Linked DNA regions of Ovis aries. The protein of the gene in region 3 binds, or shares a complex with, the protein of the main gene of each other region. Links are inferred from orthologs where the notes say so. Each region holds a gene or a part of one and is shown on either strand. Other genes may lie near its edges.

Evidence for each region.
Region 1: LSM4 (region 3) and SNRPB share a complex: the UniProt entries of both Homo sapiens proteins name them as parts of the U4/U6-U5 tri-snRNP complex. The link is inferred for Ovis aries from reciprocal best matches to the Homo sapiens genes LSM4 and SNRPB.
Region 2: LSM4 (region 3) and LSM7 share a complex: the UniProt entries of both Homo sapiens proteins name them as parts of the precatalytic spliceosome. The link is inferred for Ovis aries from reciprocal best matches to the Homo sapiens genes LSM4 and LSM7.

Annotation. Positions count from the first base shown.
Region 1 is NC_056066.1:52,396,499-52,399,713, reverse strand, and holds part of SNRPB (small nuclear ribonucleoprotein-associated proteins B and B'), read right to left. Parts: coding exon 3,150-3,215; intron 1,449-3,149; coding exon 1,337-1,448; intron 1-1,336. UniProt on the Homo sapiens protein: Plays a role in pre-mRNA splicing as a core component of the spliceosomal U1, U2, U4 and U5 small nuclear ribonucleoproteins (snRNPs), the building blocks of the spliceosome.
Region 2 is NC_056058.1:19,036,538-19,038,850, reverse strand, and holds the end of LSM7 (U6 snRNA-associated Sm-like protein LSm7), read right to left. Parts: intron 2,241-2,313; coding exon 2,169-2,240; intron 819-2,168; coding exon 676-818; 3' UTR 577-675; downstream 1-576. UniProt on the Homo sapiens protein: Plays a role in pre-mRNA splicing as component of the U4/U6-U5 tri-snRNP complex that is involved in spliceosome assembly, and as component of the precatalytic spliceosome (spliceosome B complex).
Region 3 is NC_056058.1:4,695,289-4,698,682, reverse strand, and holds the end of LSM4 (U6 snRNA-associated Sm-like protein LSm4), read right to left. Parts: intron 3,284-3,394; coding exon 3,100-3,283; intron 1,285-3,099; coding exon 1,193-1,284; 3' UTR 649-1,192; downstream 1-648. UniProt on the Homo sapiens protein: Plays a role in pre-mRNA splicing as component of the U4/U6-U5 tri-snRNP complex that is involved in spliceosome assembly, and as component of the precatalytic spliceosome (spliceosome B complex).

The DNA.
Region 1 (3,215 bases), on a different chromosome or scaffold from region 3:
GGCATCAAAACACCTTCTTATAAACACTATCCATTCCTGTTAACACCACTCTTCCTCCATCCAAGATTATATGCCCAGCAGGCTAAAAGAACTTAAGGGTTTTAAGTCAAGAGAAACAGGTACAACTCAACCAATATGCATTCCTATGAAAATCAAATAAACAGCCAAGCCTCCACCCCAAAGGGTATCTATGTTAGATTAGTGTTTTGACCCGACAAAGAGATATGAGGTCCAGTCCCAGCTCTGATTCTCACTTGGTGGGTAATAGTGGGGATAGTGGGCAAGTAATCCCACCATTCTAGTACTGCTTCTTCATCTACCAATGAAGAGGTTTTAACAAAACTGGTTGTGGTCCTGAAGGCTTACAATCGGCTACATTAGAGTAGCAAATTCTACTGGAAATAGATACCAAAGCTATGAATAGGTACCTAGGCCTTGAATCAGAAACATGGTAACATCCTTTGCATATAAGAGTCTAAACAAAAGGAAATAACTAGGATAAACTACTCTGCACTCACTTGAAAGTATCTTTAAGTCATTAACATGACTTTTGAATACAGCAACTGGAAAAATGTTTACAATGTTAAGTTAAAAAGCAGAATGATACACACCTATTACAAGTTTAAAAAAACCCAACATATATATATGTGGACAAAAATTAACACAAGGTAACAAGATTATTCCTTTAACAAACATTATCTTAAAACGAAAAAGGGGAAACAAATTTGGTTAGATTCTCTAAAGCCTCTCCTATTTCTAAAGGGAGGCTGATGTTAATGAACCAATACTGCTTGGAATCAAATGACAGTTTCACCACTTTCCAGCTGTGCCACCTTGTGCAGGTTACTAAATTTCAATTGGCATTATCTATAAAGCGGGAATAATCTATCTCAAAAGACTGTTACATGAATTAAATACTGAAGGGCGTGGCAAATAGCAGATGCTTAATTAAATATTAACTATTATTCTATAACTATACAAAAAATATACATGCATTCTATTGTTTGGAGTTACAATTTTTTATGGTCCAACTAGACTGTCATCACATTAAGAACTGATCCAGGAGGCCTTAGGTGCCTCTTCTATTGACTAGGTACATCAACTAAGGAAAAGAGGGCTTTAAAGTTACAAACCCTCAAATCCTAGTTCCTTACTTCTGACTTGCAAAGGAACCTCTTTAAGATTCTGGTTTATTATCTGTATAAGGGAAACAGAAACCAGAAGATACCTATGAGAACTGCAATGAAACAGAGAACCCCACACAGGGCCCAGGTCAGGGTGGCACCTCCCTTGCACAAGGTTCCTGGCCTTGCACTGGCTCTCAGTTCTGACTTACATCTTTTGGAGGTGGTCCCTCTACTGTCATTGAGACCAGGTTCTCCCCTCGAAGTAGTACAAGACCGAGGACTCGCTTCTCTTCTCTCTCTGCTTGCTTTGAGTTCTTTGGTCTAAAGACAGGTTTAGGAGAAGAAACAAAACAAAGCAAAACAGCATTAGAAAAAGGGTAAAGTTCATGTTCACCTACCTAGGGGCCCTCCGAGACTTTTTTTACACTAAATCTACTGACAGGCTAAACTTGTAACCTCCCCCCATTTGATGGTTGTCTCCCATGCCAAGAGAATGCACAGACCAAGAGACAGGACAAGATTCAAGAAAGCCCAGCCCTGGCTCACTCACAAAGCCACTGTGAAAGCCTTCCCTCAGTCAACTCTTTGTTGCCATTACCCTTTTTCTTCCTTCAGTTTAAGGCCTTAACAATGTCAGGAAGGCAGTCGGAACAATTCCTCAAGTCAACTGAATCCCATTCACTCTACTTACATGCAGTATCCTTCTAGTATTAATTCAGCCCCACAGAACTATAACTCTGTCTCTCACCTCATATTAGAAATAGAAGCCATAAAGGAAAAGGTTAAGAGATTAGCTACATAGAAATTACACTTCTATCCTCAAAGAACAAAAACAAATCTCCAAATATCCACAAGTAGAAAAGGATGAGCAAAATATAAACGAGATAGACTGGGAAAAAGTAATTGCAACAAGACAGGGAAAGGAAAGTCAAAGCCAATATCCTAAAGTTAAAGGAAATACAAAATATCTTGATTTTTAAAAATTACTTAAAGTTTTCATTTTAATGATATTTTATATAAATTTTCTATAGGTGGTCATTTTTTCCTCTTTTTTAAAACTTATCTATAGTTCTTATTTTTTTTAAAAAAAGCATGTACTGCCCTTTCACAATTTAAAAAAAAAATCCTTTCTGGGTCTCTTAAGTTTTTTCTCATATACTTCTATGTACTTTTACAAAATATTTTCTAATGGGCACATTTTCATTACCAGAATAAAGTTAGTCTCATTTAAAAATGTTGGCCACTCTCTAATGTACACCGGGCACTCAGCCATCACTACCATTTTCTGTCTTATACTTCTTGACCTCATGCCACAAAGAAAACAAAAGTCCCAAAGAGAATTAAAAGGAACTGACAGCCACTGGTAACACACTATGGACACTCCAGTGGCAAAAGAGAGCTGGATGGTCAAGGAAATTACGTAACTTCTTTGGGCCTCAAGATGCCTTTACTGTATAAAACACTAGACCACATCTTTTACCAGGCTAGAAGCTTAAGATCGGTGAGTCCTAAGACAAGGGAATTATCTAACAAATTATGGGACTGTATTCTCCAATTGTTTCTGTAAATGACAACAAAAATCACTGGCCCCAAACCCACAAGGGGAGTTGAGCACTTACCCTGAAGAGGGTCAGAGGCTTCTTAAAGCAGTTTCAGACCAGGCTGCACTGTGAGAGCCCTTTAGGCTACAGCTTTACAAATAGGCAATGAGGCCAGAAAATCAAGCTCTCCCCCCTTACACACCTGTGGGGAGAACATGAGAGCCCTTTACCCCAGTACCCCCGGGCACACAAAATCAGAGAAATAAAAAGCCTGGCAGCCCTACTTACAACTTGTACTCTGCTAGAAGTAAAGAGCAAGACTAAGGAAAGAGATTTAAGAAACTCTCCATTTTAATCTGCCCTGTAAAACAGGAGAGCAAACTGAGAGGAACCAGCCAGCTAGTCACCACCTAACACTTGGCCCACCCACCCGATCCACTCCCCATCCACTCAACCCCTCCCCCCACAGCCCACTCCTTACTTGATCTTCCTGAACTCATCACAGTCACAGAGGATCAAATTCATATGTTTGTCAAAAGCTTTAAAG
Region 2 (2,313 bases), about 14 Mb from region 3:
ACAAATGAGAGACGAGCCTGCTGTCAGCAGGGATGGCCCCATGGGGGCAGGGTCCTAACAAGGACACTGGGTTTATGGAACAAGGCCAGGAGAAAGCCCTGCTCCTGAGGACAGGGACTGGGGACGTTCATGATGATGGCCTGGGGTCGCCGGCTGAGGGGCAGGGGTGGGCTTGTCCTCTGAGATGAGCGGGGAAGAGGTTTAGATCACCTCTGGGGTCGTGGGCCAGGTGGACAGCAAGGCTCCATCTAGTCTGTTCTTTGTGGGGTCATGGCTGTGCTTTGTGGGGACATGACAGAGTGGACCCGGCTCTGCAGGACCCCTCGGGCCAGAGCATAAAGGCACTGAAAGGATAGGACCTGCCGCTGAGAAGGCTGGCTGGGGTGTGCACAGAGGCGGTGATCCCTGGGGGGGTCTCTGCAGAGGCAAAACCCATTCCCCCGCCTGCACTATGCATGCTTAGTCACCACCAAGTCCCCGGCCAGCGCTCAAGCTCTGCCAGATGAACCAAATCCCCAGGTCTGGGTTTTGCCAGAACACCAAAGCTGAAAGGAAGATTCCAGGGCTCCTGGACACTTGAGGTTTGCAATTTTATTAAGAAAACAAAATGTAAGTTATACAAAAAAGAGTTCCATTCGGACGGGTGGCCAAGTCAGGGGAGCAGTGGCCTGGCTGCTAGGCATCCTGCTGCTGGATGAAGGGGTTGGGGATGGCCTCCATGCCATCCTGCGGGCAGATGAGCACCACCGAAGTGCCCCTGCACACCACCAGGCCCAGCTGCCGCGTGTCCTCTGTGAGCTTGTACTGATCGTCGGGGTCTGTGGGAGAAGAGGGGCGGCAATGAGGCAGTGTGGGAAGGTGCCCAGAGATGTGCCTGGGTGGGAAGAAGTGGGGTGTGGGGGCTGGGGGGAGGGAAGGCAGGCCAAGCTCCCACCCCCCACCTCCGCTTCCCCCAGCCCATTGGCAGCTTCTCTGGAGATGGATGGAGAGGCTCAGGAAAAGCTCTGAAACAGCCCTGTGCAGCCTGCCCTCCTTCCACAATGAGAACACAGCCCTGGGGAGATGGACCGAGTGCTCAGAGGGGTGGTGGGAGAAGAAAAACCCATCTGCAGGATCTGGGAGTTCCTAGAGGGTCACCATTCACCCTCACACCAGCGGGCTGTTCCCAGTGGAGGGAAGTGACAGCGCACGGAGGCGAGCTTACTCTCAGAGATTACTGCGTGACGGGAGAGGCTGAGTTGGGGTGCCACTCCCCACTCCCAGGCCCTGCAGGACGACAGTTGTCCGAGCCTGCCCATTCCCTCCTGGAGCTGCCGGGATGGGTCTGGCTGGCTCTGGGCCTGGGGCTGTTCTTGGGTGAGGAGAGGGCAAAAAGTCGCTGGACCAGCAAGCCAGGACCCCATGTAAGTGCATGGCACACACCAGCTCATGTGGTTCTCCCAGCAGCCCCACGGGGGTGAGGCTGTCCTTTTTCAGAATGTCATCTGCCTGAGGAGGCTGGGCCAGGACCCCAGCAGCAGGACTCTGGGTAAACCCCGAGGGAAGAGAGAAAACAAGGGCAGGCAAAAGGCCCTACAGGGTTGCTCCTCCCACAAAGAGGGCCTCTGCCTGGTGGCTTCTGACACTTGTGTGTGGCCGCATTTACTCTGCACCAGAGTAATGTGTACTTCAACATCGACAGTCCCTGGAGGAGTGAGACCCCCTTCTCTCCTGAACCTGGGGGCTCCGTCGTGCAGCACTCAGGCTGAGCTGGTGGGTCTGGGGACTTGTGGAGACGGGGACAGGAAAGGAAGGGGAGGGGACCCTTTGTCAGCAGCAGGGAGTAGACAGATAGAGACAGCAGGAGAGAGGGGGCAGGATGAGGCCCCTGGAAGCCAGCTTTATTGTGGCAGGTGCAGCACCTTTCTAGCCCCACCAGGCAGACTTCAACTCCAGCAAGTGCTGAGGGTCGGTGACGAGTGAATCCGGAGAACACTCTACCCTTGAAGTCCTGAGGTGACAGTGTACTGAGCCCCACCAGGACAGTGGCAAAGCAAACACACTTGTCAGCAGTCTGACCCACTAGGCGCCACATTCACGGTGGCTCAGCATATGGGCGGCGGCCTAGGAACAGTAAAGAAGGCCTTACTGCTCGGAAGGATGCTTCCGAGCCCTGCAGCTGCACTCACCTCGCATGTACTCGATGGTGCCGTCCAGCACGAGGTTGAGCAGCGGGTCGAACCCTTTCAGGATTCCACTGGCTTATCGGAATCACCAAGCAGAGAAGAGAGATGGACAAGCATAAGATCAATGGTCATTCTGGGTAAAGTGCGA
Region 3 (3,394 bases):
AGTGGAGCTCTACAGGCACCACCATCTTTTCTTCCAATCACCCTTCAGAACCGGTCTCAACATGGTATCGGTGACAAGTAGACCTCAGGCCAGGTAGACCTCACATCCATAGGAACCAGCCTCTTAACACCAGGCTGTCCAGGAATATCGGTCAAAGGACCACATCGCCGGAAGTGTTCCGCACAAGTGCTGGCTCAGCGTCTCAGGCAAATCGCTGAGTCGCGGACAGGCAAGTGCCCCGACCCTAAGAGGAGGTAAACAGTTCGTGAAAAGCCTTCCTCATGTGTTCCTGGAGGCAGCTCCATGTCACGGCTTCTCAGGGAGCTCTGCTGTGAACAGTGCTTGCACAACAGAGATGGAGGCTGAGGACAGGCAGTGTGGGTGTCCCACTGGCTCCCACCCACAACTTCCCTCCCCCACCGCCCCACAGAGGGGAAGGGGCTCCCCTACTGCCCAGACCCCCATTTTGCCTTCCACCTTTTGTAAGAGGCTGCTGAGGGTCATGGGAACCAGTGTCCCATTGAAATGCTTCCCCTTGGTGAGAGGCCACAGGGGGCAAAAGGAAACTTCTTGCGTGGGGGCTGTGATTTCCTGAGGACACTACAACTAGATTCACCCAGTGGTTCAAAGGAATTATGGATTTCGCAGTTTGTAGTTGTATTTGTTTTTATTTTTCTAAGACAAAGAGGGAGAGAAGAAGGGACGGAATAGGGCCCAGCATCATCCCCCAGAACAGCTTCTGAGGCATACGTTTGCCTGGATCCATTTCGAAAAGGCAGTTTCAGGGTCCGTGTTTCAGGAGACCCTCCAGGCTATCAATCTCAGTGCAAACAGCTGAAAATAAAAACCTCCCGTCTGTTTACCACACAGAATGCAAAACAAACCTGTTTGGAAAATGCCTGCCCTTAAAACAAGAGTGAGGGCTTTAACGATGCATTAAACACAGAATCTTCCAGGAATCCAGTTGGCTGCGGCTTCACAAAACCAGAAGCACAGAATTAACATTTCCAACCATAGAACTGCTGGCTAACAAAAAAAGAGGAGGACCACCAGAGGACAGGCAGGGGGTCCTCCCCGACCCCTGCCTCTTCTTTTTGTTCTGAACAGTCATAAACTGGAGACCAGGAATGCAGCCTCAGGGTGGGAGCAGGTGCTCGGCGCGGCAGCTCAGTCTCGGGAATGGAGGGGCGGCTCACTGTTTGCCCGCCTGTCTGCCTGGCTTCTTTTCTGGTTGACCTCTGCCAGTCCCAGGGATCCCACCTCGGCCCCGGCCACCGAACACACCTGTGAGACAGGAGGGGGGGTTCAGTAGAGCCAGGCTGGGAGGGTCACTGTGGGCAAGGACCAGGAACTGGAACCCTTAGACTATAGCCAAGTCGTTGAACCCCTCTGAGCCTCAGCTTTCACCTCTGTAAAGTGGGGGCAGTGACTGTACCGTCGGTGGGAAGAGCAGGTTGAAAATCTGAGATGGAGTGTCTGACCAGGGCTGGGCAGGGGTATTGCTCCACAACATTCTCAGTGTGACAAGGGATATCAGACCAGGCGCCCCAGGGGTGCGAAGGATGCCAAGAAGGACAGAGGTTGGCATCAAGTCACACTGGGGCTTGCGGGGGCGGCGGCGGGGGGGGGGATATGCTTCCTGGAAGAGAGGGCTGAGGGCCAAGGTGAGGGGGTGGGTAGTCATCAGCAGGACAAAATCAGAAGGGTTTCCAGGAGGAGCTGGGAGTACAAGCTAGGATGAGGCCTGGACTCAGCCCAGGGGTGGAGCAACGATGCTCAGCTCTGTGACTGGGGCTGCACCGGGGGACCCCACCCTGCCTTGCTGAAACAATGGGGTGGGGTGGGGTCTCTGTGTGTCCAGCCCAGAGAAGGGGCGGGGGAGCCTCCTGAGCTCTGACCTCTGCAGCCAGAGGTGGGGCTGTTTCCGAAAGGCATTTTACGTGGAGCACACAGCACTGCTGCTGGGGAAGGTGAATAGCCCAAGGGTGGGTGCAGCCCCTGCCCAGGAAGTCACAGAAGCAGCAGCCTGGCCTTCCAGGGCCCCCTTCCTCCACACGCATACAGGGGACAGGGCCAGGGCTGACAGGGTCTGCCCAGCCTCATCTCTAATGGAGCAAGACCCAGCTTGGGCAAGGGGAGCCTGGTCATGCAGGGGCCCCTATGCAAGCGCCTCTCCCTGTCCTCCCTGCTCCTTCAGGCAGTTTACTCGACAGCGATGGCACCCTGGGTGGGCAGCCTAGCCCTGGGGGCAGGTCCTGGGACCTCTGGGGCCCTGCTCACCCCCATCCTAGGTTCTTCTCCACCTGCGGTGCCCTCTTCTCTCTGGCTCCTTTCTGTCACTCAAGCCTCAGCTCAGGGGGGCTCCTATGTCTTTCCTGGCTCTGCATATAAGCCTCCAGGGTGGGTTCCTGGAACCTGGCATACAAGCCCCTCCAGGTGGGTGAGACAGAAGTCGGGTGGGGGAGGGTGGGGCCCACAGCTGGCCTCTGGGCTGCGGCTCTAGCTGACTGCACGTTTAGTTTTATGCAAGATTTATGATTTCAGGGTGGTGCGGGGTGATCTACCCAAAAGGCGTGACCTTGGTTTTGTCTAAAGGAGTCACAGCAGGGAAGGGTCCCAGGCTGGGCACCACGGGGATCTTCTCCGCAGGGGGGAATCTGAGCCTCCCCGAGGTGCCCAGAGCACCTGCCAGGAAACACAGGTGGGGCTCAAGTCCCAGGTCTGTGTGGGTGCTGGGTTAGTCTGCTGGGCGGCATCTGGAGCTGAGGGAGCACCAAGAGCCACTGCGGGGAGGAGGGCCCATGTTGTGAGGATGGGCGCGGCCAGCACTGACCACTAGGGCTTAGCTGGGCTCCTGGGGTGGGGGACACGGGGCATGCAGGTGGCAACCAGCAGCACCAACTGTTCCACAGAAGAGCCCCGTGAGTCACAGCCCCCCAGTGCCATGGAGGAGGGGCGCAGAGCCAGGCCCTCGGCAACATGACGCCACCAGCGGAGAATGCCAGCACTGGGCCAGGCCAGATGCCGCGCGCGGCAGTCACGCTCCAGCGGGGAGGCCCCGGCTGCCTGCCAGGGGAGAGGGCGGAGAGAAGGGCCTACCTCGCCCGGCGCCCCCCATCCCGCGGCCCTTCTGCTGCTTCTGCTGCTGCAGGCCACCGCGGCCACGGCCCTTGGCCACCACCTCCTCCTTGACCATGTCGATGATCTCGTCAGGGATGCGCAGGTACTTGATGGTGCTGCCGCGGATGTAGCACTCGGGCATCCGCCAGAATTTGTCCCCGTCCTGCAACAGGGGGTACGTGTCAGAGCCGTGGGGAGGAACGTGTAGGCAGCCGGGCAGCATCCATCCACTCAGGCTCCCTGTGCCTGGCGTCGCCCCCGCAGGGTACGAGGC